Linked DNA regions of Coturnix japonica. The protein of the gene in region 4 purifies or fractionates together with the protein of the main gene of each other region. This does not show direct contact. Links are inferred from orthologs where the notes say so. Each region holds a gene or a part of one and is shown on either strand. Other genes may lie near its edges. The genes, in order: SERTAD4, IER5, PPP2CB and PPP2R2D.

Region 1 (8,147 bases), on a different chromosome or scaffold from region 4:
AACAAAATAAACAAACAAAACCCCAAAAGTAACATGAGAGAGCGCTGGAGCCTTTGAACATGTGCCTTACAAGGGATGCAGAGAATGCGTTTATGATTCAAAATCTTAAACAGCTGAGAAATAAATATGCTAAGTAGACAGTTCTGTTTGCAGATGGTAATGCTGCCAGGCTGCCTCTGCTCAGCTGTCTGATCCTTCAGTGCCTGCTTTCCTGGTTCCTGGGGTCCCTGATTAAGAACTACAAGGTGAGGCACAGTGTGTGGTTACCTCTGCGCACCTGGGAGGGCAGCTTGGTGGCTGAGAACAGATACTGGAGGCTGCATCCAATGCGATGTCAGGGGATTGGGAAGAAGTAAAAGAAAAAAACAACAAAATGGGCCCTGCCACCCCCATCTGCCCTTCACACACACATCAGAGCTGCTGTGTGGCACGGATGGGAGAAGTTTATTTTGCAATGAGAGGGGTTAGCATTCTGCTAAGGGCTTCTGCAAAGACTGGATCAAATTTTTGGAGCACGTTGCCAATATTTGTGAGTCATTTCCTTGGAATCCTACCTTTGGTGTTTATTTCCCTTAGAAGGAAACTTGTAAAAGAATAATAATAGCACTCATTCTTCATGGAAAGCAGCGCAGGCTGAGCGGCAGACAGCTTGCTCTTTGTTCCCAAACACTTCTTTTGTGCTGTTTACCTTATTCAGTGGACAGAAAGTGAAGAAGGCAATACAATTAAACTCCATACACACACAGTTTGTGATGCCAGAAGGCAATGCAGCCAGGAGGCAGATTTACTTGTGACCTCACTGAAAGAAGGGAAGCTGCTCTTGGGCTCAAGAAGCCCCATGGACTCTGCTGCCTCAGCCTGACCTAAAGCTGTCCGTCCTCTTCTCTTCACCTCCAGGCACCAAACTGCCCCCAGCCCCTGTGCAGTGCCAAGCTGTCCCAAAGGTAACCCAGCAGAGGAGCTGTCACTGCAGCAGGAGCAACGCTCACCACCAGGATGCTGAAGTGCTCTGCAAACCTAATGGAATATTTGGGGGAAGGTTCAACCTCTACTGCCACACCACCAATGTCCACCTCCGACACTGTGGGCCAACATTATGAGATAGGACAGCACAGATGCTGTTCTGCTAGTTCAAATCCAGCATGAACTGGATGTTCCAGGTGCTTTCCCACCTACCACAGTGCTGGTCCTTGTTGTCAGAGCCCTGATTCAGGGATCACCTCTCGTTCTCTACTTCTGCTCACTATGGTTAGGCTACCCTGGTACACCGTGAGTCCCTGGCCCCACAGCTTTATTCACAGCACTGCTGTGACTCCACGTGTATCCAGGCCCTTTAATCTCCCAGCTCTGTGACTTCCTCATCCTCGAACTTCTGGCACATCAAGGCATGCTGACCAGCTGGGCCATGCACTCCCAACATCCTCCTCCCATCCACTGCTGCAATCAAAGCCTCCCCTCTCTCCTCATGACAGGCGCAGTCATCCCAAGTCCATTCCCTGTTCTTAATCCCATCAGACCCGCAGTATCATCCTAACAGGCATTCCATATTTGTTTTTTTGTTGTTGTTGTTGTTTTGCTTTGTTTTTTTCTAGAGACATTCTGGATGTGCATAAAAAGCCCTTTTCACTGCCATCCCATCGGGCTTGTTATGTGTGAATGGCATCATTACAGCTCTCTCATTAACATCACAATGACTGCAGAGGAACACACCAGCAAATGGAGTAAAGCAGTGACTGGGAGTAGTTGCACTGTGCAGTTGTGTCCTTGTGAAGCAGTGCACTGTGAAGTTGGACACTTCAACCTTGGGGCCGCTGTAGTGCCTTGTTGTGACAGAATGGCACCGGTGGTGGTGGCAGCGGGAGCTCACGGTGATGCCGCAGGCATCCGGGGCTCCCAAATGGCTTTCCAGAATGGGATAAAGGCCCGAGTGTTGGCCTTTCACTGTGATTTTGTATGGCAAATGCATTGTATGCACCAGTGTGAATCTTTCGTCCTTTATTTCCAGTGGTGTTAATGGCAGTGGAACAATGCACGTGCTGTTCTGCACAGTCTCTCTGAGTTGAATAGGATTTGTAAAGGAGACTGCCTCCATTGCCTACAATAACGTGACCCAAACGGGATGAGCCAGTGGGGATATGAAGGGCTCTGGCTCTGTTTGCAGCCCTGACCCCCATGTGCCCATGTGCTTTGACTGAAGCACTCAATAGGGGACTGGGAGTTCAGCCCCTGGCCCAGCATCACCCTGGCACTGGCTGTGACCTTCCCAGCCAGATACCGGCACTTCTGGAAGACCAGTGGGCACATGGAGCCCTTTGGAAGGCTGCTGCTCTGCCTGTGTGCAATTCCTTGGCTACAAACAGGGCTCACTAAATACAAAACGAGCCCTATTTTGCAGCCAAGCGGCTTTGCAGAGCGTGCAGGGACTTAGCAGCTCGCTTCGGGATTTGGGCTTTATAATTTTTCCTCGTCGGGAAGCTCGGTTTTTTATGTCTTGTTTCTGTTCCATCTGAGTGCACGGCAAATGCACACGGCAGGCAGCTGTCAGCGGGAGGTGGCTGCCCCGCCTCGGTCCCTGCTGTGCACGGCAGAAGCAGCCCGGCTGCTCTCCAGGCTGTCCAGAGCAGCCTCTTCTTCAAGACAAATCAGCAGCTCTGTGCAGAAGGCATCCCAACACTTCCTTTCTTCCTTCCCTCCCGTGTGTCTGCTGAAGCACAGAAGCACCCGCAGACGATGAGACATATAAGAGAAAGCACAGCCAAAATTCTCGACTTCGAATTCATTCTCATAAAACAATCCCACAAAGGGATGCTGAACCCATCAATAGGAGGGATCCTGACCTCCCCCTCGCGCAGCACTGAGCTGCCCCCAACCCTTATTCCTAGAGGGCGGGTGCCGGGTTTCAGCGTCTCCCCGTGGGCAGCTCCGTGCCACAGACTGAGGTGCCCACGGGTGCTTCTAAGGGCAGCAGAACGCTTTGGAACAAGAAACACACAACCCGCCCGGCGGCTCTCAGCAGCTCTCGCCCTGCATTCAGCCAGCGCGGTCAGCCAGCGTTCCTCGTGCCAGCGCTCCGTTGGGAATAGAAGGTGCGAGGGGTGCGTGGCCCACGTTGTGCTACCGGAGCTGCCCGTGGGCTTCCCATCCCCGCGTCCGCAGTTCTTTGCCCAGGCGCGGCCCGATGGTGGCAGATGCCGATACTACCTTCCCCCTTCCCCCGCGGTGCGCAACCCGGAGCCGCCCGCGGGGCACCGCCACCTGCGCGGCCCCGTCCCGCCGCGGGGGGCCGAGAGGAGGAGAAGGAGGAGGAGGAGGAGGAGGGGAAGAGCCGCGCCCGGCTCATTGTTCCGCGCTCAGCCCTCGGCCCCGCACGAAGTTCGCTCCGCAGCCGCCCCCGCCCCGCCCCGCCCGGGCCGCCCCCCCGGGGCCGCCAGCGGCGGCGCGGAGCCGCAGCCAATTTGGTGCCTGTGTTTTGCCTGGAGGCAGAGCCAGCGCGGCCCGAGCGGGGAGAGTGGAAACAACTGCCGGAGTCTGTGCTCCTCTCCACCGGGAGGGTGGGAGGAAGGGAGGGAGGGAAAGAGCGAGGGAGGGAAAGAGAGACGGAGGGAGGGAGAGAGGAAGAAAGAAACGCGATCCCCGCCGCTCCGCGCCCTCCCGCACGCCACGACACGCGCACCAGACCCGCGCCCGTCGGTGCCGGCGCGCCGTGCCAGCTGCGGCGGCGGAGGATGGGCAGCGACTGAGCGGGTCCGCGCCGCCGGGTGAGCGCCGCCGGGGCCGGGCGGGGGCGGCGGGAGGGGAACTCGGGGCGTGCGTCCGTCTGACATCCTACGGTAGGTGCCCGCCGCGGGGTCGGGGCGGCCAGGAGGAGGAGGGGTGCCGGGGCGCTCACCGCGCTGCTTCCTTGCAGGAGCCGGCGCCCGCCATGACCCTGGTGCTGCCCATGCAGCGGCTGGGCCGCCCCAGCGCCGCCGAAGGAACCGCCGACCTCGCCGCCTACCGCGCGCTCTGGGAGCCGCCCGCCTGCGGCCGCCCCGGCCCCGCCGCCCCCGGCCCCGCTCCGGTCGCCGCCGGTCCCCCCGCCGCAGGTAGGCGCCGCCGGGCAGCGGGGAGCGGGGCGGCCCCGCGCAGGTGCGGCCGGGCCGGAGCCGGGGGGGGCCGCGAGTCGCCCCGAGGGGCGGGGGAGAAGCCGCGGGATGCGCGGGGTCCGCGGGGCGGGCGGGCGGAGCGGAGCGTCCGATGGACGATGCTGCGGGGAGACGTGGCGGGGCCGCGGCGAGAGGGGAAACGGAAAGTGTTTTGTTTGGAGAACCTCCGGCAAACCGCATGTCATTTGTCGTGTCTGATTTATTGCCCGCAGGATCGCATTACAGGGGAATTTCAAATCCTGCAGCGGCATCCAAGATCGCATACTTTAAAAGGAAATATGTGGAAGAAGAGGATTTTCACCCGCCGCTCAGCAGCTGCGCGCACAAAGTACGTTTCCCGAGAGCCGCTATTTTTACCCCGCGCACCGCTGGGGCGCTCCTGCAGCCTGAGCACGGGCAGGTGGCCGGCACTCGCTGCGTGCCCCGAGCTGTGGGCATCGCGTTGCCCGGGCAGCCTTTTAGCCTAAATGCTCAGCTAACTTTTTTTCCCCCCAGATTCTTTTGTTCCTCGGTAGCTCGTCCCACGAGTACAGGAGTAGGGCTGCAATGCCACATGTGGGGAACGGAGCAAATAGGGCCCCGCTTCCCTGCTCATCCCACACCTTCCCGTGGGGAGGACACACAGCAGGTTCCCTGTGGGCTGCAGAAGAGCAGAGAGCTCTGCAAGCAGCACTGCACCTTCCATGGTTAATCCTGTTTATTAGAAAGCCAATAACTCCAAAAGAACAGATTAGTAAGGAAAAGAGTATTTTTTTGTTTTTTTTTTTTTAAACAAAAGCCATCAAGGGAGGGATTACAGCAAACACTTTCCAGGCCGGTGAGTGCCTACACTGAAACCAGACTTTTTGGTGGGAGCTTTGGTGCTGGTGTTGATGAGCTGAGCACAGGGGTGGGGTGCTTGGGGACAGCGCAGGCCTTGGGGCACCCTGAGGCTCTGCACCCAAGGTACCTCAGTGCAGCCATGCACCTAAAGCTTTTCCAGCACCTCTGCTGCATCCCAGAGGCAACCTGAACGGAGCAGGTCCTGCATTGCCCAGTGCCTGCCGGGACAGCATTCAGGGCCTGCTTGAGCCCCATGCTGAAGAGGTACGGGTGGTTCTTCCCACATGCCTCAGGGCAGCTGAAGGAATTTCCAGCTACAGATAGCAGTGGCTGGGAATGAATGTTCAGCTGGAAGGTGGAGCAGAGCACTTGGTTTGCTTCTGGGGAGATGTGCACATAGCATGGAGGGTAGTGAAAGATGTCCTCTCCCACATGTTGCACTGATTTCTCTGTTCTGCCAGCTTTGTTCTTGGGTAGGTTGTTGGGTTCTGTATGATGATGAAGAGGAGGAGTGGTTGTTACCTGTTCCCTTCTGGTAGTATAAAGAAATGGTATTTGGACATGGACTTGTTGGAGCGCTTCTGGAGGAGAGCCACAAATACAGTCCAAGGGATGGAACCACCCTTAGGAGGACAGGCTGAGAGCTGGAACTGCTCAGCCTGGAGAAGAGAAGGCTCCAAGGGAGACTTGAGAGCAACCTTTCAGTATCTAAAGTGGGGCTGTAAGAAAGAAGGGGACAGACTCTTTAGCAGGGCTTGCTGCGACAGGACAAGGGGAAATGGTTTCAATCTAAAAGCAGTGAGATTTAGATCAGATATAGGGAAGAATTCTTTTTACAGTCAGGCTGATGAGGCACTGGCACAGGTTGCCAGAGAGGTGGTGGATGTCCCATTCCTGGAGACAATCAAGGTCGGGCTGGGGGGATGCTGATGACATCTGATGGAGCTGTAGGTACTCCTGTTCAGTGCAGGGGAGTTGGCCTTGATGGTCTTTAAGGATACCTTCCAACTTCCACGATTCTACCATTCTGTGATTCTACTGTAGCACGTTAACCTCTAGGCTTAATGTTTAGAAAATTACTGTCTAACAAAGAAGAGCTTCAGCTGCGAACTTGCTTGGAAACAGGGCCAATTTTTGCTTTTACGAGGTACTGTGCTGCTTCTGAGCCCTGCAGACAGGACCAGGCTGTGGAAAGAGCTGCAGGGCTGGGAGAACTGAATGGATGTGAAAAGCAGCTGTGCTCTGAGCGCTTTCAGTCCTCATAGCTACGACTTCCACTCTGCAAAAATGCTGTAACCATGTGGGAAAGGGAAGAACGAGCGAGCCACAGATGGGGGGGATTTAGAGCAACCTCTCTTTATGCTGTGCTTCTCTCCTCCTACACAAACCAAATTATTACTAAAAATGAAAATTAGTTAATGCTGCGTACAGTAGCGTGTGTTACCCCCTCTCTGTTTTGATTCCCGGGGCAGTGACTGCAGTGTAGAGCAGGGCCCCCCGGGCAGTAACCTGCTCCTGCTGCCAGTGCTCAGAAAGAGAGCCCCGGAGGGACTGCGGCAGGGGGAACCGATCTGTGGGCTCCTGGCCAGGATCCCTGCAAATCCCCGTCCTCTCTTTTGTTTCCTGACCTTGTCCCTGCCTCCCCACATTCCCACCGGTCCCATGGAGTGAGCGGTGTCGTGCACGGGCCAACAGCTGCTCTCCAGATGCTGCAGTGCTTTGAGATGGTTTCTCCCTGCCTCCCTGTGTGTGTTCCTATATGTGAGAGCGGCGAGCGAGGGCTTGGCAAATGGAGACCTCCTCACCGAGGGCCCCTTCCACCGGCTGTGGGTGAAATGTTCTGGCACTCATTGCTGGCCCCATCCTGGAAAGCTTTGCCTCTCCCTGCTGCAAAGAGGCTGTGGGAAGGACCTGTGTCTGGCTTCAGGGCTCAGTGGGAGCCCCACAGGGGATGGGACTGGGTCCATTCACATCAAAGAGCCCCCATCACCAGAGCAGAACAGTATGACAATTTTGTTTTAACCCCAGATGCTGAGAAAAAAACATGTTCCACATGGGTGTGCAGCATGGGAAGCTGATTTTAGTTGCCTGAGGAGGAGAAGGAGAAAGGCAGTGGCACAGAGTGAATACCCTGCTTCGTTTCCTTTCTCTTGCCTGGAACAAAGCCGGTTGACTTCAGTTCTGTATCTTCTCTCCTTTGTATTTTCAGACAATCTCAGTGTTTGAGGAACGGGCCCATATTCTTTACATGTCTTTGGAAAAGCTGAAGTTCATTGACGATCCTGAAGTCTACCTGCGGAGATCCGTCCTCATCAACAATTTAATGAAGCGAATCCATGGAGAAATCATCATGCAGAACAACTGGTGCTTCTCCACGTGCTCCTTCGGGGCTGCCTCGCCACAGGAGTGGTTTGTGCCCCAGGACTGCCCTTACCGAAAGCGTCTTCGGATGGCCAAGGAGGAGTATGAGAAGCTCCACACATGCTGCTTCTATCAAGAGTGCGGTGGTCATTACTTGAATCTTCCCTACTCGGTCAATGCCAGCACAGAAAATACTTCTTCCTCCTCTCCCTCCTCCTCCTCATCCCCCATTTCGTTGCCGAGCTGTTCCCAGCAGGTGGATTATGACATTGGCAGTGCCCCTTCTTACAGGAGTGACGAGCAAATACCTGCAAGCGAAATATTTGTCACTAACACCAGGCCTCATGCTAATCAGGACAAGGCCAAATTCACTGATGAGAAGGGCAGCGACGAACCTGAGCGAGACAGCGAGCCCCTAAACTGTGAACCTGTAAGAGGCACTCATACTTTTGAATGTAAAGGCAAATTTTATGACTATTTTGAGACTGGGTGTAATGACAAGAGTGATGTAAGCGAATCTTGGAAAAAATCCTTGCGGAAAAAGGAATCTTTACCAAGTAATAAAATGTGCTGCAGCAAAGGAAGTAAAATATGAGGCATCTTTCTTGCTCCATCGAAGCATGTGCGCTTGTCTATCAAATTTGTATTTTGAATGGATTTTTTATAGTTTTCTACAAACGATACAATCACGCCACAAACATTACGCGTAGTTTTAAATGACTGGGGAGCAGATTGCGTAGCACGGTGCTCCGATCTGCATCAGCGGGCTATTTATAAGTGTGGAGACTTCATAAAGAACACAGTTGCGTTGTCACTTAG
Region 2 (7,001 bases), on a different chromosome or scaffold from region 4:
TTGTACCCAAACTCCTTGTCACACAGTCAGCCCCGCAAGAGGGCAAGGTGGCAAAGGAAGGTCCTCACAAGAGGAAAGAGGCACAGACATTTCATGCTTTCTCTTCATTTTGGAGAGAGGGATTCAACACAAAGGGCTGAATGGGGCCCTGAGCAGCCTGATCTGGTGGGGGTCAACCAGCCCTTGGCAGGGGATGGGACTGGGTGGGCTTTGAGGTCCCTTCCAACCCAACCATTCTATGGTGCTGTGATTACATGATTCTACAATGCCGTGATTTGATGTTTCTGTGAGCTGCTCTGTCCTTGAATGCCACTCTGAGGATGCCTGGACGTGGTCCCTCACTGTTAGCTTGGAGCATGGCAGCGTGACACAAGTGTCATTGCCATCCAGCAGGAAGCTGTGGGACACAGGGCACATCTGTGCTCCACGACGTGCGCAGGGCTGCAGCCGGCACTTGCCTGCCAGCTAAAAGGAAGGTGACTTTGAGATGCAGGGAGAGAAAATAATTAGACTGTGACTCCTTTGGGCAGGCAGCCTACCCTACAGTCTGCAGGGCTGCGGCTTCGGCTGGCTCTGATGTGTGGATTTAACCCTGTGCTGGGCTGCAGGTGAACCCAGGCTCCTGTTTGGCACGGAGTGAGAGCATCCCTCAGGGCACAGAGCAAATCACCCAGTCGGCATCATGTGAGCAGCAGCCCAGTGCTGTGCTGGGCTTCTCCTGGGCACCAGGAGGACCAAAGGACCAGAGGAACAAAATACAGGAAGGTGGACTACAATAGAAGGGTTGTCTGATAGGAAACCCCGGACAAATAAATGTGTTCTTTCCCCAGGAAACCAAAGCCAATTTCATAAAGGACTGTAAGCTGTGGGGCCACCTTTTTCCAAGGGAAATGGCTGCCTGAAGGAGCTGATAACCATCTACATCCTTATCCAAACTCAGACAAGCTGTGGGTGCCCTAACTCTGGATGGATCCCTGTAAGGTCATGGATGGAGCCCTAGGTAGCCTGACTGGTAGGGGACAGCCATCCCACGGCAGGGTTGGGGCTCACTGATCTTTAAGGTCCCTTCCAACCTAAGCCTTTCTATGATCTCCCCGAATGGAAGAGGGGTTTTAACCTTGGAAAAACCCCTTTGCTTTCTAGTACGGTGCTGCGCTGTGTGAACGCGAGGCTGTGGTTTCCAGTGCAGGTACAGAGCACTCTCAGAAGCTGGGGGAGCCACTTCCCTTCCTTCAGCTTTAGGTCTGTGTTGCTTTCTTTGTTTCGCTTGCGTGTTGTGTTGGGTTGTCACCCAGCAGTGCTTAGTATTTGGGGATGTTCTCTCTGCCCTTGTCTTCAAACACAGATAACCCAGAGCAGATGGGAACCGGGGAGCATTACCTACCCATACCCAACAGCGGGAGGCTGAGACTGCATCTGTGTCAACCATTGATTTATCTAGGAGGGAAGAATCAACCCAAACGATGCTCAGCGTTAGATATCTCTTATCTCTGGCTACAAAACGAAGCCCTGTTTGGGAATGGTTGCTTCATCAGTGGAGCCTGGAGATGTCCTGGAGGTCCATTGTCACTTGGGGAAGCTCAGTACGAAGGGTTTTATCCCCTACCACGCTGCTGGTGTGAGAGTCTGTGTCCCAGGAGGAGCCCAACCCCCGAACCAAGAGAAGGGCGATGATGCACCGGGGAGGCTCCAGGATCCCGTGCTTGGAGGACACCTGGATGTCTCCGGGATCGCTCCCCATTCCTTCAGAGTATCTGCCCGGCTCACATGTGTTGACAAGGCGCAGTGCCGGCTGCCGGAGGGTCGGCGCCAGCTTGGAACAGGATCTGGGTAACCACATCCGCACTCGGCGACAGGTCGGGGGCCGCGCTGCGTGCCAGATGGCCCGGCCCGGCCCGGCGCTGATGGCAGCGGGACCCGAGAGCTGCCGGGACGTGACAAAGCGCCGTTCGCCTTATATTTCCGATAGCGCGAGGGAGGCGGACAGAGAGCTGATATGAGACGGCCATCGGGCCGTGGGCAGCCCGTGCCACGAGGCAGCAGCGCCAGCCCCCGAGCGAACTTCCCGGAGCTGATTGAATCGCCTATAAAAAAGCAGCCGTGTGCGCAGCCTCTGCGATTACGATGTTGTACCGCAAGCTGCTTCCTGTCCCGAGCCTCTTTTATCTCGCATTGTTTTCCTTTCCAGGTGGGGCTGCGGGCTCCCCGCCGCTCGGCCCCCCGGGTTTCCTGCTCGCTCCGAGCCACCTTTGTCTGCCGGCCCCGCTATTTCGGGAAACGGCAGCTGTGCCGAAGGGCTGCGAATTGTTTGTCAGCTCCTTTCCAGCCTGCCCAGATCACACGCGGACAGAGAAGCGGCCGGTCGCACCCTGCCCGCCCGGCTCCTGCCGGGGATGGATGGGGCGCTGCCCCTCGGCTGGGCCACGCACACGGGGACGCGGCACCTCCCCGCGTGGGAACGGGAGCAGCAGCGGCACGACGGGCGGACGGGTACAGACAGACAGACAACAAAGCCACCCCAAGGCGAGCGCTGACCTCAGAAGCTGCCATGTGACGCTGCCTCAAACTTACTAAGGCATGACATCAGCCTGGGAGGGAAAGCGGGGCTGCCACCAAAATACCGCCCGGCTTAAAAGGGCTGAGCTGGGCCGGACTTTCTGCAGCCACCCCCAGCCCTGCTTCTGTGGCATTGATTCTTACCGGGCTCAGCTGAGCACCAAGGGGCTCGTGTCCCACAGCACCCACAAAGAATCCCCGTTGTTTTCACACGCGGCTGGTCACAGAACCCAATGACAGCACCGAGGTGCCCCGGCCGGTCGGGCTGAGCACGGAGCAGGTCGGACAGGTTGGGATCGCTGAGGACAGCAGTGCTTGGTTCCCATCAGCAGGGTGGGAAGGAAAGCCCTGCTCTGCCCGGGGCTGTTCTCTGCAGCCCAGAGGCCGGTGCACTGGGGAGGGGGGTCTGAAGCCTTCTGAGAAGGGTCCCTGCTGGTTCTTTTCCACGCTCATTGAGTCCCAATGGGGACGGGCAGCCCCTGCACCTCACGTCCTGCCCTTCAATACCAAGTGAGGCTCTTGTTTTGGGTGAGAAAGGGAGAAGTGGGAAGTGCCGTCACATGGCAGACAGGAAGGCAGCAGGCTGAAAGCGATACCCTGGGCTGTCCTTTCACTTCTGCCCTCGCCCTCTTGCCCCCATTGCTTCCTGGAGCTGGGCTGGGGATAGAGGCAAGAATCAAATCCAAATTCACAACCTGGACAAAGTGAATCCAACCCCAACGTATTTCATGTATTCTACATAAAATGGAGAATAAACCCATCAAAGACAGCTGCCCCTTGTGTACTGTAAGGTACAAAGGGATGAAAGCTTCTCAAAGCGCTTTTTTGGCAGGAATTAGTGGCAGAAGACGACCCGGCGCTATCCCCGCTTGCCTTCCACTCCAGGTGGGCCCCACCAGCCTCTCTCTGGCATTGCCGCTTTAAGGGCTCTCTCCGCGGGGCGAGCGTTCGAACGCGTTACCCTGCCCCGCCATTGGCCGGCGCGCCGGCGGTTGGAGCGGCCGGCGGAGCGCTCTGATTGGTCGGCGCTGGGGCGGTATAAAGGGAGGCGTGGCGCGTGGGCACCCTCAGTCGTCGGCGAGAGCGAGCGGAGTGAGTGTGTGCGTTTGTGCGGCGGAGCGGATCGGCCCGAGTTCAGCCCCGGCTTCACCTCGGCCCACCCATGGAGTTCAAGCTGGAGGCGCACCGCATCGTCAGCATCTCGCTGGGCAAGATCTACAGCGCGCGGGGCCAGCGCGGCGGCCTGAAGCTGCACAAGAACCTCCTGGTGTCGCTGGTACTGCGCAGCGCCCGCCAGGTCTACCTGAGCGAACCGGGCTGCCCTCCCGAACCGCCCCCCGCCGCCTGCGGGCCGCCGGCACAGCCCGCTCCAACTTGTCCCGCCGCCTGGGCGCCCGCGGAGCCGGACGCGCCGAGGCTCGGGCGGCCATCGGCCGACGCGGACTGCGGCAGCTCCCGGCCGGCACGGCGCTGCTCGTGGGGCGGCTGCCGCTGCGGGGCGGGCGCTGAGGGGCCCCGCGATGCCGGGCGCTGCTGCTCCGTGCCCCCGCTGTGCCCCCGGAAACGGAGCGCCGCCGAGATGGAGCAGCAGGGCTCGCCCGTGAAGAAGCCGCGCAGAGAGATGGAGGAGTCGCCGCCGCCCCCGCAGGGCGAGCAGGAGGACATGGAGACGGGCAACGTGGCCAGCCTCATCAGCATCTTCGGCTCCAGCTTCTCGGGACTGCTCAGCAAGGAGCCGCAGGGCCGCCGGCGGCCGAGCCTCAACGGCAGCGAAGAGACGAACGCGGAGCCGGGGCAGATCTGTTGCGATCAGCGCGTGCTGCGGACCCTCAACCCGTGGAGCACGGCCATCGTGGCCTTCTAACCGCCAGGAGGGGCACGGACAGACCCGGAGCTGCCCCCCTCCTCCTTCCTCCCCCCCTCCCGGCCCCGCACGGAAGAACAGCGGGCAGCAGCACTTCCCCTTCGCCGGGCCCCGACCGTCGGCAGCCGCCCTGGGAGCGGCCCGACCCGCCCGGAATTCCCCTTCCCGATCCCCCGCCCCGGGGCGCTCCCAGCGGGGGATATTTTAAGCTTGGAAAGTATTAAATTTATTAAATAAAGTGTTTATTTTGGAAAGGTTTAGGGCAGAACTGTTACATGGTGCTTTTAAAAAGTGGTTATTGGAGAGAAGCAGAAGTTTACAGACGCTCCGACGGAAAGTCCTCGTGAGCCGAGGTTGTTAGGCTCGGGGATCCCCGGCCTTTGTTGTATAAAGGCTTAGGGGTCCCGTATTGGGGTAGGGGTGGGATGGAGGGGGGGTTTGTACAGTGTTCTCTTCGGTGATGTATCTCGTTTTGTATGAAATGTATTGCTACGTGTGTGACACGTATTAAATATTTTCGACTGTAGCGGCTGAATCCTTGTCTGTGGGGTGGGGGGTGGCAGCCAGGCACCCCGCGTTACCTCGGGTGGGGTAGTGAGGGGGGGTTACGTTGGGTTACGTTGGGTTTCTGTTGTAGACCCAACGTTCCAACCCGCTCCCAGCTCCAGGTCGATGGCTGTGGCTCAAAGTCCTGCTCTAGGGGCGTGTGAGCTGCCGCTGCCAGGCATAGGCTGTGCTCGGGGCTGCTTGTTCCGCTGCCAGCAGTCGTTCTCCTCGCCTCCTGTTTGCTGTTACTTGCGCGGTGGTTACGATGAGCAGTTCCTACTATTGCTAAGAACTGGGTTAAAGTTCCTGCTCGCATGGGTGGGGAGGAAAGCTTGGCCTGTGCTTCACAGCCACCGCGGAGCGCCCCGGGGCGTTGTAATTACATTGAATTGTGGGGGAATTTTTGTTCTTCAGTTTCTCGCTGGGATATTCACCGGAGGCTCCTCCGCTCCTAATTAACGATCCCTCCCACTGAGGACTCTGCTGTGCGCCCTTGGGAGATGCGACCCAAAAGTCGGGATGGGAGAGCCGGGCAGCGGGCTGTAAATGCTGTTAATTCTCTTCCAAACTGGTTGTCAGATGGGGAGGAGGTTCTTCGGCTCTGCTCCACCTTCTACAGGCGTTGTGCAACAGCCGGACCGCTGGCAAATGCCACGCTGCTGCTGCGGCTCCTCCCGGCTGGGTGACCTCCGGCTTCTCGCTTATCAGCTGACACGCGCTGTCCCCGAAGGACCCGAGCTGGCTCCGTGGGCTGCTGGAGCCGTCCCCGCTGTCGTACCGCAGCCACGTTGGACCCCGCAGCCTAATTCAGTGCCGGCTGTTGGGTGGGGGGGAGCTGGAGGCCGCTCCCAGGGCTGCGGTGACCCCGCTGGCCGCAGGGAAGGGCGGCTGCAGCTCCAATTGTTCCGGAGATACTTTGCATAACTGGCAGCAGGGCTTAGGAAAGTGCTCCGGGGGAGCTGGAGCAGCCCGATGTTCTCAGGAGCTGCTCGGGGGTCCCAGGATCTGCCTTTCCTCGCCTCCTTCCCTGCGTCTTTTCTCGTTCCTGTAATAACACTGACATAAACAAGGGCCGTTCTTCTGTTCCAGTGTTTCGGTCCTTGGAGTTTCCCTTCCCACGGTGCTGCGTTGAGGGCGAAGGGGTGGGAAAGGACAGGGCTGTAGGCTTGGGGAGGGGCTGGCAGCCCAACCGCACCTCCGTGCCAATGCTGCTGATGGAAGGAGTGCAAAAATAAGCCAGATAAAAATAAAACCTTCCATCACTTGGAAGAAAGGGTAACTCCTATGGAAATAGAGGGCCCGGACGGATGTGATCTAATGGCAAGATGACAGGTCCTCACCTCCTGGAACAGCAGTGGGGCTGTTGGGGAGCAGCTCCTCAGTGTGGTCTGGAGCTGAGGGGGCTGCTTTGGGCTTGGATGCAGAGCCCAAGGCTCAAATAAAAGGGCCGAACCCACACGTCCTGGGATGGCTCAGCCCTCTGAGAGGGGATGAGCATAGAGGTGGTTTCCAGGGTCCTATTGGGTGTCCCCCACGAGTGCTCCATCCCGGTGCACCCCGTCCTGGCCTCTGTCCGTGCCTCCCGGGCAGGGGAGGAGGGGGCAGGCTGTGGGCTGCAGCATCCTGCGGGGCTGTGTCAGCGCTCAGGAATCCGGGAGCTGCTGGGAAGGAGGGAGGGAGGAGGAGGGAGGAGGAGGGAGGCCGGGAGGGAGGCCAGCGCCTCGGGGCCGCGCTGCTGGGGCCTCTCCCAGCTGGGGAATGGGGGGGCACCGCACCGGTGGGGGCTGCTGAGTGAATGGAGAAGGGCGAATCCAGGCTGGCTGGGGTCCCCGAGGCAGGGGATGAACGCAAACAGCTTTCTTCTGGTTGTGATTGCTGCTACTGATAGGAAAACCCTGCAGGCCCCCCTGGCTGGGTGAGAGCAGTAATGAAACACAGAGCTGCTGGGGAGGGCTCCTTCTGGCTCCCAGCTGAGCAGTGTGTTGGTTTGGAGAGCCAGGGCTGGCCATGCATGGGGTGCAGGATGCTCCAGTGT
Region 3 (8,238 bases), on a different chromosome or scaffold from region 4:
GAAGCTGGCAAGGAAGAGGGATGCAGAACAGGTCTCTGTGTTTTTTTCCACAGGTATAGTTTTTTGCCTCTCCAAGTTGGCATCTCGTCAAAGGTAAAGTTAAGCATTTTCTGCTGCACGGCACACATAAGGCCTGAATGTAATGCATAGCACAGCACCTTTTTCTCGGGAAGGACCTTTTAAGCAGAAGACGGTTCTTTTAGGGGATTTCAGTTTGGGTTTGAGGCAGCTCATGGGAAGTGCATTGAAATGGCACACGGACGATGTCTTACCCACCTTTTCTTTCTCTCCAGCAGAGACATTTTTAATTTCTTTCCATAGTTTAGAACTCTTTCCCAAAAGTGTTTCCCAGCCCATGTGAATGACCTTGAAATGAGTCAAGTTTATCAAACAAATTGTGCACTGCAGGAAGCAGTCTCCAAATGCACACACACCCATGCACCCCTCAATGTGTATGTGCATGTATGTGTGTGCGCATGTACCTACAGACAGAGTATTTGTTTCCCCAGCCGTTCTTTCTGTGGTTTTATTATTATTGTTATTATTACTGTTATTATCATTTCGGGGTGGGGGGGTTGATTTGTTTTCAGGATATTAACCAAAAGGTGTTTGAAATTCATGGCATGAAAAACCCTAAATGTAAATCTGAGTACATTGTGATGCTGATTAACAGATTTTTCTGAAGCTTATGTGATGCTCAGTATTTTCCTTAGGGAGTTTTGTTTAATGTGAGATCATTGTTCTGAAGGATGTTGGTCCTACTGGAATCAAACTAATGGAAATAAAATGCATGTGTTACAAGTGTAGAAACGGTGAAGAATTAAGTGTGAACTTACTGTACAATACCGATTCTGTTTTCAAACGATCTGTTTCGCTGTTCAGTAGTTGACATATAAAAATGCAGATGTACTGTAATTTAGCACTTTTTCAATTGACCCTGTTCTCACTATGACAGAAGTAAGGAGCACTTCTGTGGCTGTCAGGACCCATCTCTCCTGATGTGCGGACCCTGTGAAGCGCGTCAGGGAAGGGCCGAGCCTTTCATCCTTCCTGCACATTTTGGTACCAGAATTGGCCAGAAGGAAAGGAAAGTGTGAGAGTCTCTTAGTCCCCTAGTGTTAACAGGGTGCAAAGTGTTACATGTTCCGTACTGTACTGAAAGGGTTGGTTGGTCAGTGACTGTATTGTACTGTATGACAACGCATAAATTGCCTTGTATTGTTTCTAATGGACTGTACCATGTCCCCCGTGGATCTCCATGTCCCTAGTTTTCCAACAATGACGCATGTTATCAGTTAGGTCCTACAACTCTGTGGTGCTAACTCTCCCATACCTGATGGTGCTTCTGTGGACACTAACTGAGGACATGCTGGCCAGAGCTTGAAGTTTCACAGTATTTCTCCTCTGTTTGTACGAAGTGAACACACACACACACACTAAATGATAAACTTGAATTTGTTTCAAAGCATCATTGACAATCTAATGTTTTCTATGTGTGCTTTTATTTGGGATGGCTTTTCCAGAAAGCAGCTCTCTCCCCCTTGGCTCACAGCCACCCCTGTGCTCCAGTAGGCAGTCCTGTCCCCTTTCTCCATGGCGAGCATGGGGCCAGGATTCAGTGTGACTCCTCTGCCTTTGGAGGTGAGCTGCTTCCCCAGCAGCTCTCTGCATGCTTATCTGTGCCTAAAAAGGACACCTGTGACCACTCCATCCCCAGGTAGGTGAGCACTGTGGTGCTGCTCCAGCTCCTCCACAACCAAAAATGGAGTCTGTGGCAAGAATTGGCTTTTTACCAGAAGGGAGGGAACTACTGAAAGGGAGCTGGAATTCCAACAGGCACCTCTGTCCTGTGGTGGGAGAGCCCATGCATGCAGCCCTGCTGGCAGAGGAGTCAGTGCTGGTTCTGGAGCTTCATGGGCAGACCTTTCCCATCCCAAGCCCCCTACACAAGCTGCTTTTTGGACAAAACAAAATCTGAATATATTTTATATCTATTTGAAAACGAAGTCTGATATTTACCCCTGTTACCAACTGAATTTGCGTATTGTTGTTTGCCACAATATTTGTTCTGTCTTAAAATAAATTTGCTTACTTGTGTAGTCTGAACTGTCTGCTCTAATTCTTGTTGCCTGATGCACGGTGCAGTTGTTTCAGGGCTCAGTCACTCAGAGCTGGCTTTACAGTGTCTCCCACGTGGGAGCTTCCTGTGAGAGAGACATAGAAATGTGTCCGTCTGTGAGGGGCAATAATTTTAACCAAGACCCAGAATATAAATCTGCCTCTCGCATCTTCTCCCCAGGGCTTTTCAACCTTATGTCCTCTTTCACCAGTGTTTCATAATTACACCCTTCAAAATGGTAAGTGCACAAGAGAAGAATCGCTGCATTTCAGTATACTTAACAGTTAAGAGATAAGACTGTTATTAATGTTTCCTGGAGGCTAAGTAATTTCTGATGTTGGTGTTTTGCATTTTAGAAAGAAATGATTTATTGTGATGAACTCACTGAAAACAGCAGCCAAAAGCTGTGGACATCTAATGATGTTCACAGAAGGAGACCTAGCAAAATCTTTTCTTCCTCCTCAGAAAGGCAGACAACACCGTCTTGGTTTTTCAGTACCATGCATTAACAAGGCATTTGCATTGGTTACTAGAGATGGTACAAAGGAAGGCAGCACTCACAAGTGGTTGCAAGCCTTTTTTCCCATGCATCTTCAGGTACAGAATCCAGTCTGTGAGTAGATGAAATTAAAGGAACAACAGTGCCCATTTCTGCCTCCCTGTAGCCTCAAATGGGAGGCAGCAAGTTCTGCTCAGTTCCTGGGAGTGCCAAGCATCCTCACACCACCCTGAATAATGTATATTTGTTTCCTCAGATGATGTATTGTGCCCCATCAAGTGCAACCACCCAATACTGCCTCTCCCACAAGTGTGCTGGGACTCAGCAGAGCCGCTGCAGAAGAGGTGTGCAAGACTGTGTCAGGTGCTAGGGGTACCAGGGAGAGCCCATGCAGCATGGGGGGTGAATGTGAGGGCTGTGCTGTGCACGGGTGATATGCAGGGAGGAGATATAGGAGCGCTGGAGTGAATACCACACCAGCAGGACCCTGTGGAGGGTTGGGTGACTTCTCTTAGGCACATACCTCTTTCCAGCACGTCAGCATCAACCTCAGCACTGCGTGGAGCCATCCGGTCCAGGTGGAAAACATCTTCCAGGTGCATAACACAGTGGGGCTGAAGTTACACCGCCCTGGTGTCCTCACCAAGGACCAGGTGGAAGCATTACAAATGCTTTATGGATCTGGTTGCTTAAGTCTTAATTTACGAGACTGAGAAGTAGAATTCCCTCAGGGCTCCCTTTTGGTGAGATAGTGGGAGAGTCCCAGTTGGTTTCAGCGGTCCAGGGGCTCTCTTGGCTGAGTCTTCCAAGCTGTTCACAGCTCACAAAAGGCATCATTTATGAGTACAGAATGGCAGAGGACTTTTAGGAGCAACTAAACAAACTGTATTTGTGTAAATACATGACTCCCTTTGACTCTGCTGAACGCACTTTCAGTTGCACAGCTCGCTATAGGCGCACAGCGCTCTAACCCCTTTGACTCCCAGCTCCACCTGAGGGACGGACCGTTACGCCCGTCGCGAGGCGCCGCGCACGCGCAGTGCCGGAGCGGAAGCGCGGGCGGGGGCGGCGGCAGACGGAAGTGCGCAGGGCCGGGGGCCGCCATTCCGGGAGCGCAGCAGGCCGCGCGCCCCCGCCGTTGCGCCGGCAGCCTCAGGCGGGACCGGGCCTCGCGGGCGCCCAGTGCGGGGGGGGCCCGGCCCCGGCCGGCAGCGCCGCCATGGAGGAGAAGAGCTTCGCCAAGGAGCTGGACCAGTGGATCGAGCAGCTGAACGAGTGCCGGCAGCTGAGCGAGAGCCAGGTCCGCAGCCTCTGCGAGAAGGTGAGTGAGGCGGGGAGAGGCGGCCCGGCGCTGGGGCCGGCCGTGCCGAAGATGGCCGTGCGAGGCCTGGAGCTGCGGCCGGCTGGAGGGGGCTCGGCTGTGCCTCGGGGCCGGCCGTCGTGGCCCGCCCGGCGCTGCCCGCATGGCGGATCACTGCGAGAAGCGCCGGCTGTAGAACGGCGCCGAGCCGGAGCGCGGCCGTCGGCCCGCAGCCGTGGGGAAAGCCCTGACGTGTGATGAGGGGCAGCGGGTGGGCTGTGCTGCCGCCTTAAAGACAGGCCTACGTTGTGGGGAGGGAGGCCGGGATAGAGCAGGAAGTGGTTGGAGAGGTAATATAGTTTGCCGCAAAGAGCCTTTTCTCCTGTCAGGAGACAGGTTTGGGTGGCTTTTGTCTGAGAAGTTAAATGCCTGTGTGCGAGCATAACCATCCATACTGCAGTGTATAGCTGAGCTAGGATCTGCTTGAATGTACGAGCTGTGACAAGGCCAAGGAGCTGAGGTGGGCTCAGCACAGCAGCTCAGATTGTGTTCTCTATGTACCTCAGTGACAGCAGGGACTATTGCCGTGCACTGGATCAGCTGGTAACTGCTCTGCCTCATGTGCCTGACAGCTAGTTCATTGGTCCCTGTACTGTTTGTATTGCTGATAGCGAGCTAGGTTTTGTGTTGTCATTACCTGTGTCTCACTGAGCTCTTGCAGAAGCAGGTGATCTGTTGTGGTGCCTGTTCCTGGCATTCTGGCCAGTGGCAGCTTTCAGAAGATGGAACTATTTCTTTTTTCTTTTCCCCCCAAGTCTTCAGTAGGCCACCGCAGCAATAGGTTTGAACAGTAGAGAGAGCCTGCACCACCGCCTTATAGCATGCTAGGAGTGCCCTTCAAAAGGTAGGAGCTGAGTGTCACAGGCAGATATTTGTTAGAAGTCAAAGCCGTGGCTGCCTGACATACACTTTTACTAGTAGTCCTGGATTGTCTGGCTGCACACTGGCCTGTTTCTCCCATTCTGTTTTTTTACCCACGCTGTAACTGCCCATTTGCTTTATGGCTTTTTCTGCACTCACCAAGCTGGGACAATTGTGAGAAGGGCTGGTGCTGCAGCAGGGAGCAATTGAAGAGCCTTGAGATGTAGATGTCTTCAAAAGAGTGAGCTTCTTGTAGCTGTGCTGTCGTTTGAAGTCCAGCTGATGAGCCTGAAAGAATTGATTTGCAGTTCAGAACAGCAAGAGTTCTGAACTGCTGCACCAACCACCAAGCTGCTAAATAATAATAATAATAATAATAATAATAATAATAATAATAATAATAATAATAATAGTAATAATTCCCTTCTTAATTAACAGCAAAGCCAAAGAAGGAGCTGTGGCTGCTGTGCTTTCAGAAGCTGGATGGTATGATCAGTAGGTTGTATTGCAGTCAGTGGCTGCAAAGCAGGGAGAGGTGCCAAGTGGAGAGCACAGCTGCAGGTGAAAGGAATGTCAGTCCTCCAAAATGACGGGTAGGATGTGAACCATGCGAACCTGTGAGGCACAGCATGTTTGCTCGGAAATAAATGTAAGCTATTGGAGCATCTGGTTTTCAGGTAGCGTTGGTAACTGATCTGCAGCGCTGTCAGAAAGCTTGGGTTGCTTCCCCAAGATAATACTTGGAGAAACCCTTAACAACCTTTCTGGTCATATGCAATAGTAACTCTTGCTTTAGTTTTTAAATTAGTAATAGTATTAGGTGGTTAAAATGGGGGGGCGGGGGGGAAATAAAATAAAAAAAATACTCTGAAAGTTTTCTATGAAAGCATGGGATACAAAACCAAATTGAGTCCCAGACTTACCTGTGTGTATCGTTCTTGGTTTCACTTGCTGGCCTCACAGACAGTGAGGAGGGAAGGACTGGAGATAGTTGGCTCACACAGGGGATAGCAGCTGTTCTTCTCTCAGAAAGCTTTTGATAATTGCACCTGTAGAATCACTGTAAATTGATCTGCCTGGTTATGACATAACTGGCAGCTAATCCATCTTAGAGTCTTTGTAGAATTAATCAAGATGTCATCTGGTGATAACATTAAAACACTTCCTGTTCTGCTGCTCTTAAAATGAAAACTAAAGTCATGCTGATATTTAGTATGTAATAGAAAAACAAACAATTATTGTCACTACTGGAGCTTCCAGGCACCAGAAATGTTTCCAGCCCATCAGGGAAATGAACATTAGGCTTCTTGCATCTCTTACTGTTTAACTTTATTATTGTAGATCATCTGAGTAGATGAAGGTTGTTAAAAGCCTTTTTTTTTTTTCCCCCATTAAATAGGCAGTGAGAAAATCTTTAGAGCTCAGTCTTGGATGCTGTCTGCACTTAATCAGAAGTGCAGTGGCACGTTTTGTATCCGTGGTTGTGCTGCCTTTGAATTTGGGTACTGACAGAAGGGTAGCACTTAATGCATGGAACTCCTTTTGATCCCGCGTGGGTACTGCTGCCCCTCATTACCTGCACTTTGAGCAGCTACAGCCAGGCTGAAAGACTGAGGAGGTGGATTCATTTTAACAGGAACTGCTCTCAAGGTTGGACGTGAAAAGCTTTAAATGCTGCTTGATTTGAGATTCAAGTCAAGTGAGCAGATTAATTCTGCTGATGAGGGAGTTGAGGCTTTAGTTATAATAAAGACAGTTTTTCATTAAGATAATAAGATACGGCATAAAGAAAATCCAGTTAAAGGCTGTTTCTTAAACACAGGCAAATGACTATCTATAGCCATCTATTTCTTTGTAGCTTCCTTATTTCCCCCTTCCCCCCCATCTTCGGTCTTCATATGTCTAAGAGGGGGGTAGAGACTTGTTGTTGTGAGCAGCTGGAGAGCTTTGTGTTGTGAAGTGGTGGGAGGAAAAGGATTCTAACCACTAATGAACACTTGCATTTCTTGTTATTGAAAAGTAATTGTGCACTGATTCCTCAAGCTGAGCAGAAGGAGCCAGTTGGTGCTTTAGGGAGTACTGCTGTTGCTAGCATGTACGTATGGCAGTTCTGCCCTCTGAGATTATTTTGCCCAGGAATAATTTTAATAGAATGAGCTCGTAGGCTCCTCTGCAGTAATTGGTGAAGTTAGTATGAGCAACAAAGCCAAGTTACATCCTGGATGCCATTCAAACCATGACACATTCTGAGAGTGTTATGCTGGATCACAGTCAGCAGTATTTTATCTCTTCAGTGATAAAGTTTATCTTAGCATATACTGGCCTGGATGGCTCTAGGAGTGTACATCCATATTGGCATCAGTGCTGCTGTTGGGGCTGTGGGCTGCCCCCTGCTATTGAAGGGCAGGGCAGCTCCAGCTCTCCAGCTCCCCTCTCATTTGGGGAGAATCCAGCTGGCTCTTGTCAAACGAAGCTGCTGAGGCACCTCCGAGATTTTAGGATCCTCAGCCTGTTGATGCTGTAGTTTAATTAATTGCAACTGGCAGAGAAATGAGAAACTCCATAACTGGTTTCTTGGATTCTTGAAGCAAGGGCCTCCAACAATCAAACTGAGGTTATGGCACAGTCAATGAATCTTCCAGAAGGAGCTGTGTTTCTGTGTTCTCAAAGGATCTTACATTATTATCCAGGGAAGACCTGATATTGAAAATCTGGATGGATCTTAATCCCCTCACCGATGGAGTCATCCTACACGAGTCTCAGAGACAAATCCAAGCAGTATGAGAGTTGATGTGTTTGATCATTAAGCCTCTCACAGAAGCTTAGTCTCCTGATGATCCTGACAGTAGTCTCAGGGCCTGTGTAAGATCTCCAGTTTCAGAGCAGTGTATTAAGAGATTGTGTTCAAGTCCTGAGACTGTTCAGTTTTTTCTTGTAGTGACAGCACAGTGACGTACTGGGATGTGTCCTCCAGCATCCATCCATGCAGATCAAGGGCTGGGATGGCAGGCAGCCTGGTCCTCTGATGGGAAGGAGAGCTAAGATATTGGCAAATTCACAGCCAACAAATAACCTGGTCTTCAGAATAATTTTGAGGGCAGACACTGTAAATATTATGCCTAGAAGAGAAGGAGCTTTTTGTTACTGTAACGCTGAAGTGCTGTAACGTGAGAGAAAGTACAGCAGTAACAGAGTAGCACAATCCTAGGCTACAGCAAATGAGAACGAGCCCAAATACAGCAATCACGGATACAGAAACAAGGGAAGAAAAACTGCTTACCTTTCGAAAGCCTCCAGCAGGCAGGGATCTCCAGACAGGTACCCCAGCCTCCACTGCCAGCCCTTAAATGGGGTCTGGGAGGGGGAGGATCCTGGCTTCACCCCTTCTGGATACTCAGT
Region 4 (7,483 bases):
AAGAAGTGGGTAATCTTTCCCACCATGACAGTGAGTTATACTGGTGAATACCTACAATCTTCACTTAATAGTCAGTTTAAGAAAAGAAGAGGAAAAAAAAAACAAACCAACAACACAAAACCACAACAGTATAATTCCTACAAGAGACAAGAGAGGCACTAGATATAAAAGTAGAGAGCCTTGGTTCAATTCTTATTTATAGCAACAACAACAATAGAGACTGAAAATCCCCTGCCCCCATATGACTGCTTTTCTTGAGCTCCTGCTTTAAATGGTCGTGTGTCTGGGGCACCAACCTGCCATTACACCACCACGAAACTGGAAAAATACCAAGGCTAGAGAAGTATTCATTAGGCTTTCCAAGTGCCCCAAGCTGACCTCTAACTAAAACAGCTCCTGTAGCCTACCCAGCACTCTGTTCAAACAGCAGCCCTGTCCTTGAAAATAAATACGAATGAGAGCACAATATAAAAATGAAGTTATCAACACTTCCTAAACTCACTTTTAACTCTTCCTAAATCCACAGCACCTTAAAGCCAAACACTGACCCTACCTGCCAGCTTCACAGGGAACTGCCAACCAATCTCTTTTTCTACCATTTCAATACACTGAGTTGGATAAATGCTGTCTCTAAGGAGATAATTTCATTTGAAAGTATTTGATTTTAAATCTATTTAAAATCTGCTAAGATTCCAAAACAGCAAGAAAAACAAAACAAGAACCAACCTACTGGAAGGAGATATTTTAGTTAGGTACCAAAACATCGTTTCTACCTTCTCATCTCAGTTGGCAACCTTGGTAATATGAAGGTAAAGAACTACATGCAGAAAAGATACTTGAAGTCAAAAAGCAGAAACGTACCCGCAGTGCTGTGATTTTGAAGGGATCCCTAAGTCTTCCATCTTCATCTTTTAAGTTGTACCCCTCTGGCCTCTTATCTCTTTCAGTGATTTTCCATAATTTGATTGTTTTATCTAAAAAAAAAAAAAAAAAATCAATAAAAATTCACATCCTTGAGAATGAACCAAATTCCACAATTAAATCCCTGCGTATGGGGCTGAGCAGAGTGTTGCTCTCAGCACAGACGTGAAGAACTTTGCCTCTGGCTACATTAGTTACCAGAATTAGTGTATTAGAAATAAACAAGAAGCACGCGCTTACAGGGTGTGGATGGGAAACACCTCAAAGTATCAGTAAAAAGAAGGGAAACAATCAGCATTCATTTCACATTTTTCAGGTTTCATTTTAACTCAAATGTAACATTCAGCTTAAAAAATAATACAAGTTTCTGCCTGATCAATAAAGCAGCCAGCTTACCATTGGCATTAATACCCCTCTGCAAGGGATATGCTGATCACCAGAACCCAGCAATGAGCCCTGAACTGCTATCTAAGTGATTTTAAACAGACAAACCTGAAGGAATGAAAACAATCATTTAAGATGACACAGCTGAAAGGCTGCTTTGAGTCTAGCAAGACTTAAGCAAAGTAGATTAACTTGATTTCCTGGTCCATAGACAGAAGTCATTCCTGCTTTTGGAGTTTTGTATAGCAGCCTGTATATAAGATCATTTAAGAACAAGGCTAAAGGAGATCCAAAACCTTAGGAACAAGTGCATGTGTCAACAAAAGCAAGGTGTGCTTTCTTCCTGCACTGCTCTGCACTAGATTTACAATTTGCTCCATGATGCATCAAAACGAAACAGCCAATAATATTCAAATGACACACAATAAGTGGCTTTTGCAAGAATAGTGTTCTTACCATTTGTAGACAGCAGGAAATGAGCAGCATTCTGTTGTGGCAACCACCTGATTTTATTAATTTTTTCCTCGATCTCTAGACTTTTCAAGTAGTCAAACTCAGGCTCGTGACTCTGGAAGGTACTGTAAACATTATATTCTCCCCTAGAATGAGGACGGCTTTTATTCTGTAAGGAAACACAGAATTTCTTGAAGCTGATGTTACCCAGTTTGTTAGGAATTCTACATACAAAGTAAAGACTATAAATTGTCAATTAGAATGGAACCTTGTTACAATGGGTCTTGCTGAATTTGGTACCTTTACTGTAAAGCATCTTAGCAACACAATATGTGCAGACTGCCTTTTAAAAATACACCTTTAAATATACGTATTTGTTGACTCATTTGAGAGCACCTGGCAGAAGCACGCTGCCTGCACTGCTGCTCCCAGGCACTTTCAAACCAACTGGAGCAGAAATCAGTTACATCCCTATATCCTAAACCATAAAATCCATGTGTTTATTTTCTGCACCTCATCAAACTTGTTCCCCTAATGAACATAATATGGACATAGTACAATCTCTAACAAATATGCAGTCAGTTCATTCTGAGACTTGATCTTTCTCCCCGTCATTTAACTTCTATGCATTTTAGATGGGATCCTCTCTACTTTTAGTTATGTCCATTACTTACCCAACCACCCATGTTTTGCTCAGGCTGTCCTGTCCAGTACAAGGCACTGGTCTCACTATGTTCCAACCAAGTGTGTCAGTAACATCAGCTTCTTGGAACTGATGTAATGCCCTGCGAGTTCAGGGCATGATGCCCAACATTTCAGCCTGCGTTCCCAACACGAAGCCTTTGTGAAATCTTACAACTATCTTTGGTTGTTACTAACACAGTCAAAGAAATGACACTGTTTAAAGAAACAGTTGTGAGATTTCATTAAGTTTGTAGTATTATAGACATATTTGATTCAGACGTGACTTCCTCCTCTCCAGGAATTCTGCAGTTTTGTATGTGGCAAGAGAATGAAATCCTGTCACGTCCATCGCTTCCCTGCAGCCCACGTCCTCCCAAATATTGCTGTGTGACGAGTGTGACTTGTGTAATGCTAAGAGGAAGTGATGTGACAGCTGGGTTTGGACTTACACAACAACTGAGCACAAAAACAATATGAGTTCCATGCTGAACTAGTATCAAAAAGATAGAGATCCCGAGCAGGTGGCCACTTCTGACCTTGGTCTGTGTGCATTAGTTAAGTCTATCCAGCAGACTAAATGATAAATGAGCACTGAGCCATCTAGGTGCAGCAGTGTAACATTTCAGCAGCTTTTCAGCAATAGTGTTTTCATTTCACCACCTCTGAAAAGCCTGCAATAAAACTGATGAGCTAAAATGGGAAAATGTTTTGTGAACAGTGAGGATGAAACATGAAATACTGGACAGTTCATCCATTAAGCATTATTCAAATTATACAATGAAAGAAGCGGGATTCTGAACCAGGGAAAGGCTCAAATCCTCATCTCTGCACCAGAAATGCCCATATTTTCCCACTGACATCAGATGCTTAATTCTTCACTATTTGAACTGCCACATTCTGATGTCCTTGCAGCTCCACACGTATTCTTTTTCCTTATAAACTTGTTTTCTTATATTCATTTCAAAAGAAATAGGATGTGCCTTAGATCAACGTGAGAATGTCCAATGGTAGGTCAAGGAAAGACTGGATGTTGTGTTGAGGGACATGATTTAGTGGGAGCTATTAGTAATAGGTGAATAGTTGGACTGGATGATCTTTTAGGTCTCTTCCAGCCTTGGTGATTCTATGATCTACAATACTGAGCGTAACAGTTACATAGAGGAATTTACTGTATTTCTGGGGTGTTTCTTTCAAAGCAGCGAGGGGCTGAAACCACCACCCAGCTGACCTCCCAGGTTCAGTACAAGGCAGGTATATACATGGCTAACTTTGGGTTTCCTGAGCAACTTATCTAGTCACACAACCTTCACAGCATGAGCAGATGAAGTGAGACTGTGCAACACAAGAGCAGCGGAGTAACAGCACTTTTGTTTTTCATGTCACTGACCTCTTGTTCCCTTTGAAATATAACCACTCTGCCACCTTTGTCTCCTGTTGCAAGAAGATCACCAGAGTAATTAAATTCAACTGTTGAAATAATATCAGCTGTGAACAGAACAGAAATAAAATGCACTGTAATGCGTAAAGCAAATCAAGATGTTTCAAAACTTGAAAACAAAATTACAATCTGCATTAATATAACAGCCCAAAGAATTGATTTACATCACTGCTATCCAGAAATTGTTTCAAACCCCATCAAAAATTATTCATTTACACTTTAAAACATCCTCTCATTTCTCCATGTTCTGAGCTTGAGAGCCTTCAATCATGAGAGGCAGCTTGTTGTTTGAAGAACCCAAACTGCGTCCTACCCATCTCCAGTAAGTATGGGCACACATAGGGGAGCACAGAGCTCCCCACAGTGCTCCATTTGCAGTGCTGCTTCAGAGCAGCACTGCAGCTTACAGTGCCCAAAGCCATGTCGGAACAGGCCTGTCCTTCCTTGTGCTCACCACTGATACACTTAGTTCAGGAACCTGAATTGGCCAAAGGAAAAACAAGAGAAGAAAAAAAAGTCAATTCAGCCTACTAAACCAACACCAGCTTTTATACAACAAACAAGAGGCAAGGATGACAGCTGCTGAAGGAAAGGACTGCAGGACCTCCAGGTTAGAGTGCATTAAGGTCCCTTGGAACCAAACCTGAGAAAACAAGCAGTATTTACCACTACAGGCCACAGCCTTTGAAGGTGACAGGGTTAGGGCCTCTGCCCTCCACACCTCCCAGCCAGCCCCGGCCACACCAGCTCCAGCTGGTCACCATAATACACACATCACCTTGTGCCACTTTAATTCTCACAACCAAAAATCCCCAAACCCACAAACAAAAACCTCCTCTTTGTGCATGTTGCTCATTTTACTGTTGGCCATTAATACTGATCCGTGTTAATTATTTCCACAATTACATGTTTGCTTTGACCCGATGGCTGCTTGAATTGTCTGAATGTATAAATTACAAGCTATTACAGGCTGGCTGGTTACGAGGCTTTCAGTTACAAATACCAAATATCACAACGCAGCACAGAGCTCTGTGCTAAGATGACAAAGCTGAGCCAGCTGCAAGTGTCGTCCTAAACTCTACACCAAGACTGACAGCAGCCCAGGCTGCCCAGAGCCACATCCAGCCTGGCCTCGAATGGCTGCAGGGATGGGGCACCCACAGCCTCCTTGGGCAACTGTTCCAATGACTCCTTAACACATCAATCCAAAGTTGTGCAAAACACTTTTCATTATGGCTTCAGAAAAGGAATAAACTATCAATAATTTCTCTCATGTAGACTGTCATGGGGTGTTCTGAACACAGGCCTCCAAAATCTTGGGCTGCTACACTGGGAGTGAAGGTGGATGAAGTGTCAGAGGGCAGCTTTTGTTATGCTTAGAGGAGAGCGAGCTTGGGCCCACAGACTAATTTGATCCTACAAAGGAATCATACGATGTATTTCTGACACTGATACCAAGGCCTGGGCTGTTCAGACATCCAAACTGGATGTCTAAAATTAGCCACCATGAACTTCTCTGAGCTGGCTGCATAGTGCTGCTCCCGTTAACAACAGAAAACTTTACTGCTCCTAAAGCTGAAAGCCAAGACAACGAGCTTAAAGCCCCCTGAATGATTGTACAGCTGGATCTTGCTTGGCACTAACACTAGTGAGGCACAAGCAGCATCAACTTCTCCCATTCTTAAAAGCTATTCAAAGACTCTTGGCAAAATCCTGCTCCTCACACTTAATGGATGATCACAGAATCGTAGTATGGTTTAGGTTGGAAGGGACCTTAAAGATCACCCAGTTCCAACGCCCTGGCCATGGCAGGGCTGCCACGCATTGCACCAGGCTCCCATCCAACCTGGCCTTGATCGCCTCCAGGGATGGGGCACCCACAGCTTCTCTGGGCAACCTGTTCCAATGCCTCACCACCCTCCGAGTAAAAACCTTCTTCCAAACATCTAACCTCGATCTGCCCTCTTTTAGTTTAAAGTCATCCCCCGTGCCCTGTCACTATCAGACCATGTAAAAAGTCACTCTCCCTCCTGTTTATATGCTCCCTTTAAGTACTGGAAGGCCACAATGAGGTGTCCCCAGAGCTTCTCTTCTCCAAGCTAAACAAGTCCAGTTCCCTCAACCTTTCCTCAGAGAGGCTCCAACCCTCTGCTCATCTTAGTGCTCCTCCTCTGGTCCTGCTCCAACAGCTCCACATCCCTCATGCACCAAAGGCCCCAGGCCTGGAAAAGTACTCCAGATGGGGCCTCACGAGGAAGTGAAACAGTTCTATTTCCAATCATTACCTAAAAAGGAGGCTGATTCAACTTCTAAGGGATCTTAATCATTAATTACAGTGGAAATTTAAGTAACAAATCTTCACATCCAACTTAGAGAGCAACAGAAATGGCAGCAGATCCACATCCTGTCCTCCCCTTCCTGAAAAGTATTTTACTACACGTCTTTGTCCATGATCCGTTCTGAGACCCAAAGAATCAACTGTTCTAAGGGACTGTGACACTAGAATGGCTCTGGCTTTGAGAGGAAGTGACTGGACCTGGACCACAGCCAGGTGGCTGGCATGAACCATAAAGGAGATTGTGAGAGGAAACAAAACATAAGCAGAGCATTGCTGTGCTTGAAATCAAGACCAAGGTGACACACCTTCTGCTCTCCCCTGGGCCCATCATTCCACAGAGCCTGTGGTGCAACAGCTGAAGGGAGACAGAGACATCATGTGGCGTCTCACAGTCGATGGGAATGAAACAGAGAGCGCAGAAGGGGATAAGTCCAGGCTACGTGCTCCTAAACCAACTTAGAATCACAAGGTGGGATGTCCCAGTGATGTGCTGAACTGTAAGATGAGCAGAACGAGCAGGAATTGCTTTTGCAACAGGCAGTGACAATACAATGAACTTAACAAGTTACAGATGCACAGTGTAAGGTTTAACAGCTCTTCACCTTCAGATGGTTACAGCCATCCCAAAGGAAAAGCACAGATCTGGCAGCAAGGTTCTAAGCAGCCTGTCCTCCATCTGCTGAGGCAGCCAAGTGCCAGCAGAGCTTTGGCCTCTGCAGGTTTCTGATCACTGACTTCTACCCTCTGCATCTCCTCTTTTTTCCTGTACCTTTAACTCATTTGCTTCTGGCTGCATAGAAATTCTTCATGCTACGGCTGTAAGAACAGTCAAGGGAAAAGATTAACGCCACTCTGCAGTTCGGATGGCCCAGGACTGGTACAGCTGTTACTGTAACGTCTAAGCTCTCCTAACATTGCACTGTTCCTTAGTTTAAGACTTGATATAAATCTGATTTCTATCTCTGAATTACACAGAAAGGAAAGCCAAACCATGGAGCTATCTACATTCATTTGAAATATACAGTGACTAAAAATAACCTGTGTTTCAGAATATGCTATTTTTAGACTCTGTATTCAGATCTCCACTTCTATGACTGATTTAAGAATACATGAGAGTGAGGCAGCTGTATCAGGGGTCAGGAGAAGACCACAATGGTGCCATTGTTTTGCTCACACTAAGTTTCTTCCAGCTTACTTCACTGTCCTGCTTAAACTTCCATCAGGTTTAACCACTTCTTTTGTAATAAACCAACTTGCAAAGTGCC

The links.
Region 1: the proteins of PPP2R2D (region 4) and SERTAD4 purify together in Homo sapiens (affinity purification with mass spectrometry; 3 studies listed by BioGRID and IntAct, counting the BioPlex papers as one, with this or other methods). This does not show direct contact. The link is inferred for Coturnix japonica from reciprocal best matches to the Homo sapiens genes PPP2R2D and SERTAD4.
Region 2: the proteins of PPP2R2D (region 4) and IER5 purify together in Homo sapiens (affinity purification with mass spectrometry; 3 studies listed by BioGRID and IntAct, counting the BioPlex papers as one, with this or other methods). This does not show direct contact. The link is inferred for Coturnix japonica from reciprocal best matches to the Homo sapiens genes PPP2R2D and IER5.
Region 3: the proteins of PPP2R2D (region 4) and PPP2CB purify together in Homo sapiens (affinity purification with mass spectrometry; 6 studies listed by BioGRID and IntAct, counting the BioPlex papers as one, with this or other methods). This does not show direct contact. The link is inferred for Coturnix japonica from reciprocal best matches to the Homo sapiens genes PPP2R2D and PPP2CB.

Annotation. Positions count from the first base shown.
Region 1 is NC_029518.1:20,054,943-20,063,089, reverse strand, and holds the start of SERTAD4 (SERTA domain-containing protein 4), read left to right. Parts: upstream 1-3,670; 5' UTR 3,671-3,758; intron 3,759-3,907; 5' UTR 3,908-3,922; coding exon 3,923-4,085; intron 4,086-4,357; coding exon 4,358-4,473; intron 4,474-7,176; coding exon 7,177-7,923; 3' UTR 7,924-8,147.
Region 2 is NC_029523.1:5,892,395-5,899,395, forward strand, and holds IER5 (immediate early response gene 5 protein), read left to right. Parts: upstream 1-3,563; 5' UTR 3,564-3,718; coding exon 3,719-4,420; 3' UTR 4,421-4,947; downstream 4,948-7,001. UniProt on the Homo sapiens protein: Plays a role as a transcription factor. Mediates positive transcriptional regulation of several chaperone genes during the heat shock response in a HSF1-dependent manner. Mediates negative transcriptional regulation of CDC25B expression.
Region 3 is NC_029519.1:30,567,228-30,575,465, reverse strand, and holds the start of PPP2CB (serine/threonine-protein phosphatase 2A catalytic subunit beta isoform), read left to right. Parts: upstream 1-3,699; 5' UTR 3,700-3,837; coding exon 3,838-3,939; exon of another isoform or gene 3,940-5,127; intron 5,128-5,762; exon of another isoform or gene 5,763-7,958; intron 7,959-8,119; exon of another isoform or gene 8,120-8,238.
Region 4 is NC_029521.1:30,898,578-30,906,060, reverse strand, and holds part of PPP2R2D (serine/threonine-protein phosphatase 2A 55 kDa regulatory subunit B delta isoform), read right to left. Parts: intron 3,928-7,483; coding exon 3,830-3,927; intron 1,928-3,829; coding exon 1,762-1,927; intron 975-1,761; coding exon 862-974; intron 1-861. UniProt on the Homo sapiens protein: Substrate-recognition subunit of protein phosphatase 2A (PP2A) that plays a key role in cell cycle by controlling mitosis entry and exit. Involved in chromosome clustering during late mitosis by mediating dephosphorylation of MKI67.